Linked DNA regions of Oryctolagus cuniculus. The protein of the gene in region 1 purifies or fractionates together with the protein of each later gene. This does not show direct contact. Links are inferred from orthologs where the notes say so. Each region holds a gene or a part of one and is shown on either strand. Other genes may lie near its edges.

The links.
Region 2: the proteins of DLAT (region 1) and PDHA1 fractionate together in Homo sapiens (co-fractionation; 3 studies listed by BioGRID). This does not show direct contact. The link is inferred for Oryctolagus cuniculus from reciprocal best matches to the Homo sapiens genes DLAT and PDHA1.

What each region holds. Positions count from the first base shown.
Region 1 is NC_091432.1:103,981,931-103,985,744, forward strand, and holds part of DLAT (dihydrolipoyllysine-residue acetyltransferase component of pyruvate dehydrogenase complex, mitochondrial), read left to right. Parts: intron 1-1,031; coding exon 1,032-1,219; intron 1,220-3,492; coding exon 3,493-3,646; intron 3,647-3,814.
Region 2 is NC_091453.1:5,384,218-5,388,031, reverse strand, and holds part of PDHA1 (pyruvate dehydrogenase E1 component subunit alpha, somatic form, mitochondrial), read right to left. Parts: intron 2,540-3,814; coding exon 2,480-2,539; intron 1,928-2,479; coding exon 1,754-1,927; intron 1,219-1,753; coding exon 1,092-1,218; intron 145-1,091; coding exon 53-144; intron 1-52. UniProt on the Homo sapiens protein: The pyruvate dehydrogenase complex catalyzes the overall conversion of pyruvate to acetyl-CoA and CO(2), and thereby links the glycolytic pathway to the tricarboxylic cycle.

The DNA.
Region 1 (3,814 bases):
CCTCGGAAGGCAGCAGAAGTTGGCCTAAGTCCTTGAGCTCTGCCACCTATGTACTAGACAAGGATGGAGTCCTTGGCTTCTGACTTCAGCCTGGCTCAGACCTGGCTTTCATAGCCATTTGGGGAGTGAGCCAGTGGGTGGAAGATTTTTCCCTCCCACTCTCTGTGCTCTTTCAAATACATACATACATATATAAGTCTTTAAAAAAAATCACGGAAAAATGTGAATTAAGAAACATTCATATGGAATTAAATTTTTTTAAAGATTTATTTATTCATTTGAAAATCAGAGTTACAGAGATAGAGGAAGAGAGAGAGAGAGCACTCTTTCATCCTCTGGTTTGCTCCCCAGATAGCTGTAATGGCCAGGGATGGGCCAGACTGAAGCCAGGAGCCAGGAGATTCATTCAGGTCTCCCACGTGGGTAGCAGGGCCCCAAACACTTGGGTCATCTGCTGCTGCTTTTCCCAAGCTATTAGCCTGGAGCAGCTAGGACATAAACTGGCACCCGTATGGGATGCTGGGGTCTCAGGCAGTGGCTTTATTTACCTTTTATGCCACAATGCCTGCCCCAAAAAGTTTTGCAAAATTTGTTTTTGAAATTTTAATTTTATTTCCCACAAACTTTTTTGAAGTCCCCACATACATGTCAGCAGTAATGTAACCTTTTCAACCCAAGGTTCTTTGAATATGAGGATCCAGACCTTTGGCTATAAAGGGTCAAATGTACTATTATCCTCATTGTAAAAGTCAAGAAAGTGAGATAGAGGGGCCAGCCTTGAGGCATAGTGGGTAAAGCAGCAGGTGGAAGGTCTCTTTGTCTGTCTCCCTCCTTCTCTCTCTGTAATTCTGACTTTCAAAATAAATAAATAAATCTTTTTTTTTAAAAAAGGAAACAGAGACACAGAGGTTAGATAGCATGCAAAAAGGTACTACAGCCAGGAGAAAAGCCTTTAGCTTAAAACTGTGCTGTGAGTCTGGAGGGGTAGTGGGTTCTTTTAAGTGCCATAATGTTTCCCCTCTCTGTTTCAGGTTTTGAAGTGCAGGAAGAAGGCTATCTGGCAAAAATCCTGATCCCTGAAGGCACGAGAGATGTCCCTCTAGGAACACCACTCTGTATCATTGTAGAAAAAGAAGCAGATATATCGGCATTTGCTGACTATAGGCCGACTGAAGTGGCTGATTTAAAACCGCAAGCACCACCACCTGTCCCACCCCCGGTAGGCATACTCCTGGAATTAGGTGATGCCCTGCATTCCTTTCAACGCCAAGATCCTGTGAATGAGGGAGACAGTTCATTGACATTTGTGGCTGTCTCTAGAGGGTGTGTCATGCTGCACTGTTAACCTCAGGGTGGATAGTTTTTTTCTTTTACTTTTCTTTCTTTCTTTTTTTTTTTTTTTTTTTGACAGACAGAGTGGACAGTGAGAGAGAGAGACAGAGGGAAAGGTCTTCCTTTGCCATTGGTTCATCCTCCAATGGCCGCCACGGCCGGCGCACCGTGCTGATCCGAAGGCAGGAGCCAGATGCTTCTCCTGGTCTCCCATGGGGTGCAGGGCCCAAGCACCTGGGCCATCCTCCACTGCACTCCCGGGCCATAGCAGAGAGTTGGCCTGGAAGAGGGGCAACCGGGACAGAATCCGGCACCCCGACCGGGACTAGAACCCGGTGTGCCGGCGCCGCAAGGCGGAGGATTAGCCTAGTGAGCCGCGGCGCCGGCCAGTTTTTTTCTTATAGCTCTTTTCTGCCTGCTATCTTGAGTCCTGCTGAGAGCAAATGTGAGGTGACATGATCTCTTTCTGCTTTAGGTGTAGATATGCTTCTGGAAGGTAAGGTTTCATTTGGCATTTTCTGTTTAATTTACCAGATAATCTGTCACTTTCATTCCTGTTGGTATTTACATATTATAGAGGAACAAGCATATCTTTGTAATACATTGACAGAATATGACTTGTTTAGCATAGAATTTAGTATGCCACTATATGTGTCGTAGCATACACTGTTGATCTATAACATGAACTTGTGTTAACTGCAAGCCAAATAACATGTATGATGACAATTCTAGATGCTAGAGTTATGCGACTTTAGATGAGGTACACATTTCTGTCAGAGAAAACCTGATTCCTAATTGCTGGGTGTTTATGAGGAGCTGGCAAGTGGCAATGTTGATTTAAGATACTTTGGGCCGGTGCCGCGGCTCACTAGGCTAATCCTCCACCTTGCGGCGCCGGCACACCGGGTTCTGTCCCGGTTGCCCCCCTTCCAGGCCAGCTCTCTGCTGTGGCCAGGGAGTGCAGTGGAGGATGGCCCAAATGCTTGTGCCCTGCACCCCATGGGAGACCAGGAGAAGCACCTGGCTCCTGCCATCAGATCAGCGCGGTGCACCGGCCGCATTGCGCCGGCCGTGGGGCCATTGGACGGTGAACCAATGGCAAAGGAAGACCTTTCCCTCTGTCTCTCTCTCACTGTCCACTCTGCCTGTCAAAAACAAGAAAAAAAAAGAAAAAAAAAAAGATACTTTGAACATGGAACCTTCCATCATTTTATATTTTGAAATTAGGTAAGGTAAAAACAAAAACCGTGTTGGAAGTACAGAAGAATGGGAATAAAGAAGTGATATGAGATTAAAATGAAAAAAGGTTGTAGGGATATTATATATTGGTTAGAAGTATTATATTCCACTCATAGACAGGGTGGGAAATGTCCAGCTTGTTATCAGTATAAGGCCCATGAAATTATCTTGTCTGGCCCTGCAAAGGCAACTGTAGGTGGAACTCAAAATTCAATTAATCTAAGCCGGCGCCACGGCTCACTAGGCTAATCCTCCGCCTAGCGGCGCCGGCACACTGGGTTCCAGTCCCGGTTAGGGCGCCGGATTCTGTCCCGGTTGCCCCTCTTCCAGGCCAGCTCTCTGCTGTGGCCAGGGAGTGCAGTAGAGGATGGCCCAGGTGCTTGGGCCCTGCACCCCATGGGAGACCAGGAAAAGCACCTGGCTCCTGGCTCCCGCCATCGGATCAGCGCGGTGCGCCGGCCGCAGCGCGCCGGCCGCGGCGGCCATTGGAGGGTGAACCAACGGCAAAGGAAGACCTTTCTCTGTCTCTCTCTCTCACTGTCCACTCTGCCTGTCAAAAAAATAAAAAAAATAAAAAAAAAAAAAATTCAATTAATCTATAGTAGGCTCATTTTAAAGTTGATTTTTTATTTTTTGTAGTATTTTTTAATTTTGTAGTATCCAAATGACCCTTGTCAGAAAAAAAATTTCCCTATCCTTACAGAGTAAGATAACTTTATTCTGTCCTGGACATAAAGAATTGTCCTTGCCATTCATTTTGCTATATTGTGTTGGTTAAAAGTTAAAAAAAAATTCATTCTGATCTTTTAAAAAAGATGAACATTGCTTAATTAAGTTTTAATTTCTTTATAAAATGGAAACCGAATCTTTCAGGCCGGTCTCTGTGGTGATGAATCAATAATTTGTAGCTTTTTTCGAAAGGTGGCCACAGCTGCTCCAACTCCTCAGCCTTCTGCCCCTACACCTTCAGCCGCCTTGCCAGCTGCTCCTGCTGGACCAAAAGGACGGGTGTTTGTCAGCCCTCTGGCAAAGAAGCTGGCAGCAGAGAAAGGCATTGATCTTACACAAGTAAAAGGTAAGTCTGTTTCTACGGAGAGTGAAAAGTCAGTTGAATTTCCTCCTTAAGACCAGTGAGTTCAACTGTATGTAATTGTCTTAACTGGGACAGTAGGGAGAGGGTGACAGAGGGAAATGTCTCTAGGAAATATCTTCTCCCATAGGAGTAGGGAAATTGTTATTGTGC
Region 2 (3,814 bases), on another chromosome or scaffold:
AAGCAAACCAACCCCCAAAGTACAGAAAGCCTCAAGGGAATTGTTCCTCTACCTGAGCGCCGACGATGCCATTGCCCCCGTAGAAGTTCTTGGCATACATGTGCATCGATCCTCCTTTCCCCTTCGCACAACCTCCTCTTCGCCCTGCAATCACAGTACGCACCTGCATGAAGCAAGCCACACCCCAAGTTCTCACTCCGAGTCCCAATCGTTAGAACTCAGACACCAATTCAGCTATCTGGGTACCTGTCTCTCTTGGCAAATGTGTTCCCCCTTGTCTCCATAGCCTTTATTTTTAAAATCTTTTTTTTAAAGATTTGTTTATTTGAAAGAGTTAGAAGGAGAGGTAGAGAGAGAGAGGTCTTCCATCCGCTGGTTCACTTCCCAACTGGCTGCAACAGCTGGAGCTGCGCCAGTCCAAAGCCAGGAGCTTCTTCCATGTCTCCTACATGGGTGCAGGGGCCCAAGGACTTGGGCCATGTTCTATTGCTTTCCCGGGCCACAGCAGAGAGCTGGATCGGAAGTGGAGCAGCCGGGACTCAAACCAGCGCCCATACGGGATGCCGGCACTGCAGGCGGTGGCGGCTTTACCTGCTACGCCACAGCGCCGGCCCCTCTCCATATCCATTAGAAGGAAGCTCTCCATCTTTCCTGATCTCTAATCACTTAACCACCTTTCCATGCTAGTCTGGTGTCCTGGACTTTTTTTCAGGGTGACAAGCATCTACTGACTTCTGCACTGGTAAACTTAACAATTCAAGAGTTGTGAGGGACAAAGAGGGAGTGTTGGGAAGATGCCGAGACTACACTGCACATCACGCTGGGTTCAAGCCCATTGTTGCTAGATATCTGCTGGCATGCTTGAGTGACTACACGTGTTCTGCCGTCACAGCACTAACCTCTGGAACTTTTCCCCGAGAAGCTGAAGGACTTCCCAGAACGGTCAGTGCACTCCAAGGCACAACAGAGGTACCAGAGTAGCACCTGAGAAAGGAGTGTTTCTAAACTCGCTCCTAACAGCTAGCATCTTAAGGGCAGACGTTTGAACACTGAACCCGCTCCCGTCCCCTTTCTGTGAATCGAGAGCAAACCTGTGAGCTCTGCGAGAATCTCGCGGACAGAAAGGCCCCGAGTGAAGGTAAAGCCGTGAGCCCGATAGGCTGTGATGAGGTGGTCCGTGGGATTTATGCCGGCCTCCAGGCCCACACAGCAAGCTTCCTGCGTTAAAGGAGGAAAAGAACGTGAGGCTCTGATTCTGGATAAAGAGGTTTCCCAGACTGATATGAAACATGTATGCTAGAACTTGGCATTGATACCACAAAGTGGCTATTTTTCATCCAACACCACAGTGGCATGGAAGGCTCAACAAGCAGCTGTAAACTGGCAGCCAGACGTGCAATTTCCTTTAGCCTGCACAGCGATTTAAAAAAAAAACAACAACCTGGAAGTGATGTCGACATGCACCTGATTTTGTAACCCTTGGCCTAAACCTACCAAAACAAAACCAAATAACCCTTTCAAAAGTGAGTACAATACAGGAATTGAAATGTCCGAAAATTTTAAAACAGTAAAATTCTAAGAACAGGTACAGGAAATTAGCAATGTTATAAATGAATAAAAGGTGTTGGCATTCTAATTTTATTCTAAAAATATGAACCTCAGGTACTTAACACATACGACAAGGTAACATCAACAAACGAGAATCATACTTACCTACCTAAATGAGACAGTTTTAGTACAAACCTACACTCACCTGACCATCACACAAGTGACAGAAACCACGAATAATCTTCTGCTTATACAGCTGATCTGCCTTTAACTCCATTCGGCGCACAGTCTGCATCATCCTGTAATACTTGAGCCCATCCTCCCTGGTGAGCACTGTCGTGACAGGAGGGCCCTCTTCCAGCCGGTGAAGGTCACATTTCTGAAACAGAGTTAAGGCAGGCAGTCATCCTCGGGTTACCACGTAGCTAACGCTGCTGACTCATTCTGAGACCTCACTCCATCGCTAGTGCTATCAAACGCGGGAGACCGCCAAGGAGCGCATCAGAAATGCTTCCTTACTGCTCCTGATTCCTTCGCTCTGTACGCCTCTCTGTGCAAGGGGATGGATAGGGCTTCAGGGGGAGGGAAGTTGTTCTTAGTAGACTTTCACTGAAAACCCCTAGAAGTCAACTGAGCTATGGGGTGAAGCTTTCAAAGGAACATTTAGGAATGTTCATGTTCAAGTGTTTCACTCTAAACTTTGGAGTAAGTTTTTCTTCCTTTTAACCCCCCCCCCCCCGGCCTCACCCATATCAGCAACATGCCAAGAATAACAAACTCTTAACTTTTGGTAAACAACTCTAACTTATGAAACATCTGGTAGAAAATGAAGAGTATCAAAAGGTCTATTCTAAATATAAAAGTTATAAAAACTGGACATCAGTGTGTACCTTTTGAAAAATTCTGAACACAACGTAAAAGCACCTCTCACCTTAATTTCGAAGGTAGCATCATTTGCAAAATTACGGGATGCCACCAGCACTCTGCTTGCCTTGAAAGAAAGAAAACACACAAACACATCATTATGTTTTGTCAGCCATCTTGGATAGTCAGAATTACTACTCAGTGATGATGTACTCATGGAACTTTAATAAACCCCAGCATATTCATGGGCTTCTCTCTCTTCCATTCTGTTCACGATGTTGGTCATCTTCCTCACCTTCCAAAATGAAGCCACACTCTGGCCAATAAAGCACAATCCCACCGCTATCTGAAGGCAGAAAGAAAGGTGGCAAAAACCAAACCTGTTCACTTTACCACTTTGTTTTCCAAGAATTCATGAGACAGGCTGGTGTTGTGGCACATGAGATTAAGTGTCTGCTTGCAACACTGGCATCCCACATAGGAATGTGGTGTGAGTCCCAGCTACTCTGTTTCCAATCCAGCTTCCCCGTAATGTGCCTGGGAAAGCAGAAGATGGCCCAAGTACTTGGCCCCTGCCAACCACTGGATGGAGTTCCTGGTCCAGTCCCGGCTGTTATGGGCATCTGGGGGAGTGAACCAGCAAATGGAAGATTCAAATAAATATGTGTGTTTTAAAAAGAAATTATGAGAACATAATGAAATTAATGGCTATACTGAAGAGCCTAGATAATCTGAGATGTATGCTTTTTTTTTGGGGGGGGGACAGGCAGAGTGGACAGTGAGAGAGAAAGGTCTTCCTTTGCCGTTGATTCACCCTCCAATGGCCGCCACGGCCAGCGTGCTGTGGCCGGCGCACCGTGCTGATCCAATGGCAGGAGCCAGGTACTTATCCTGGGGGTGCAGGGCCCAAGCACCTGGGCCATCCTCCACTGCACTCCCTGGCCACAGCAGAGAGCTGGCCTGGAAGAGGGGCAACCGGGACAGAATCCGGCGCCCCGACTGGGACTAGAACCCGCCTGGGACTAGAACCCGGGGTGCCAGTGCCGCTAGGCGGAGGATTAGCCTATTGAGCCGCGGCGCCGGCTGATTTATGCTATTCTTAAATCATAACTGGATACTGTTCATTTGAACAAGCTAAGAGTTTACTCTATCATACTTCAACTTAAACTATGATTTAATCCCTATTGCAGAGCCTAGTGGGTTAAGCTGCTGCTTGGGAGCCTGCATCACACATCCAGGTGCCAGGGTTCCATTCCCAGGTCTGCTTTCGATTCCAGCTTCCTAACATACCCCTGGGAGCAAGCAGCGGGTGACAGCTCCTGTGGCTGGGATTCTTCCCACCCATACCAGAGACCTCAACTGAGTTCCCGACTCCTGGCCTGGCCTGGCCTAGTTCCAGCTG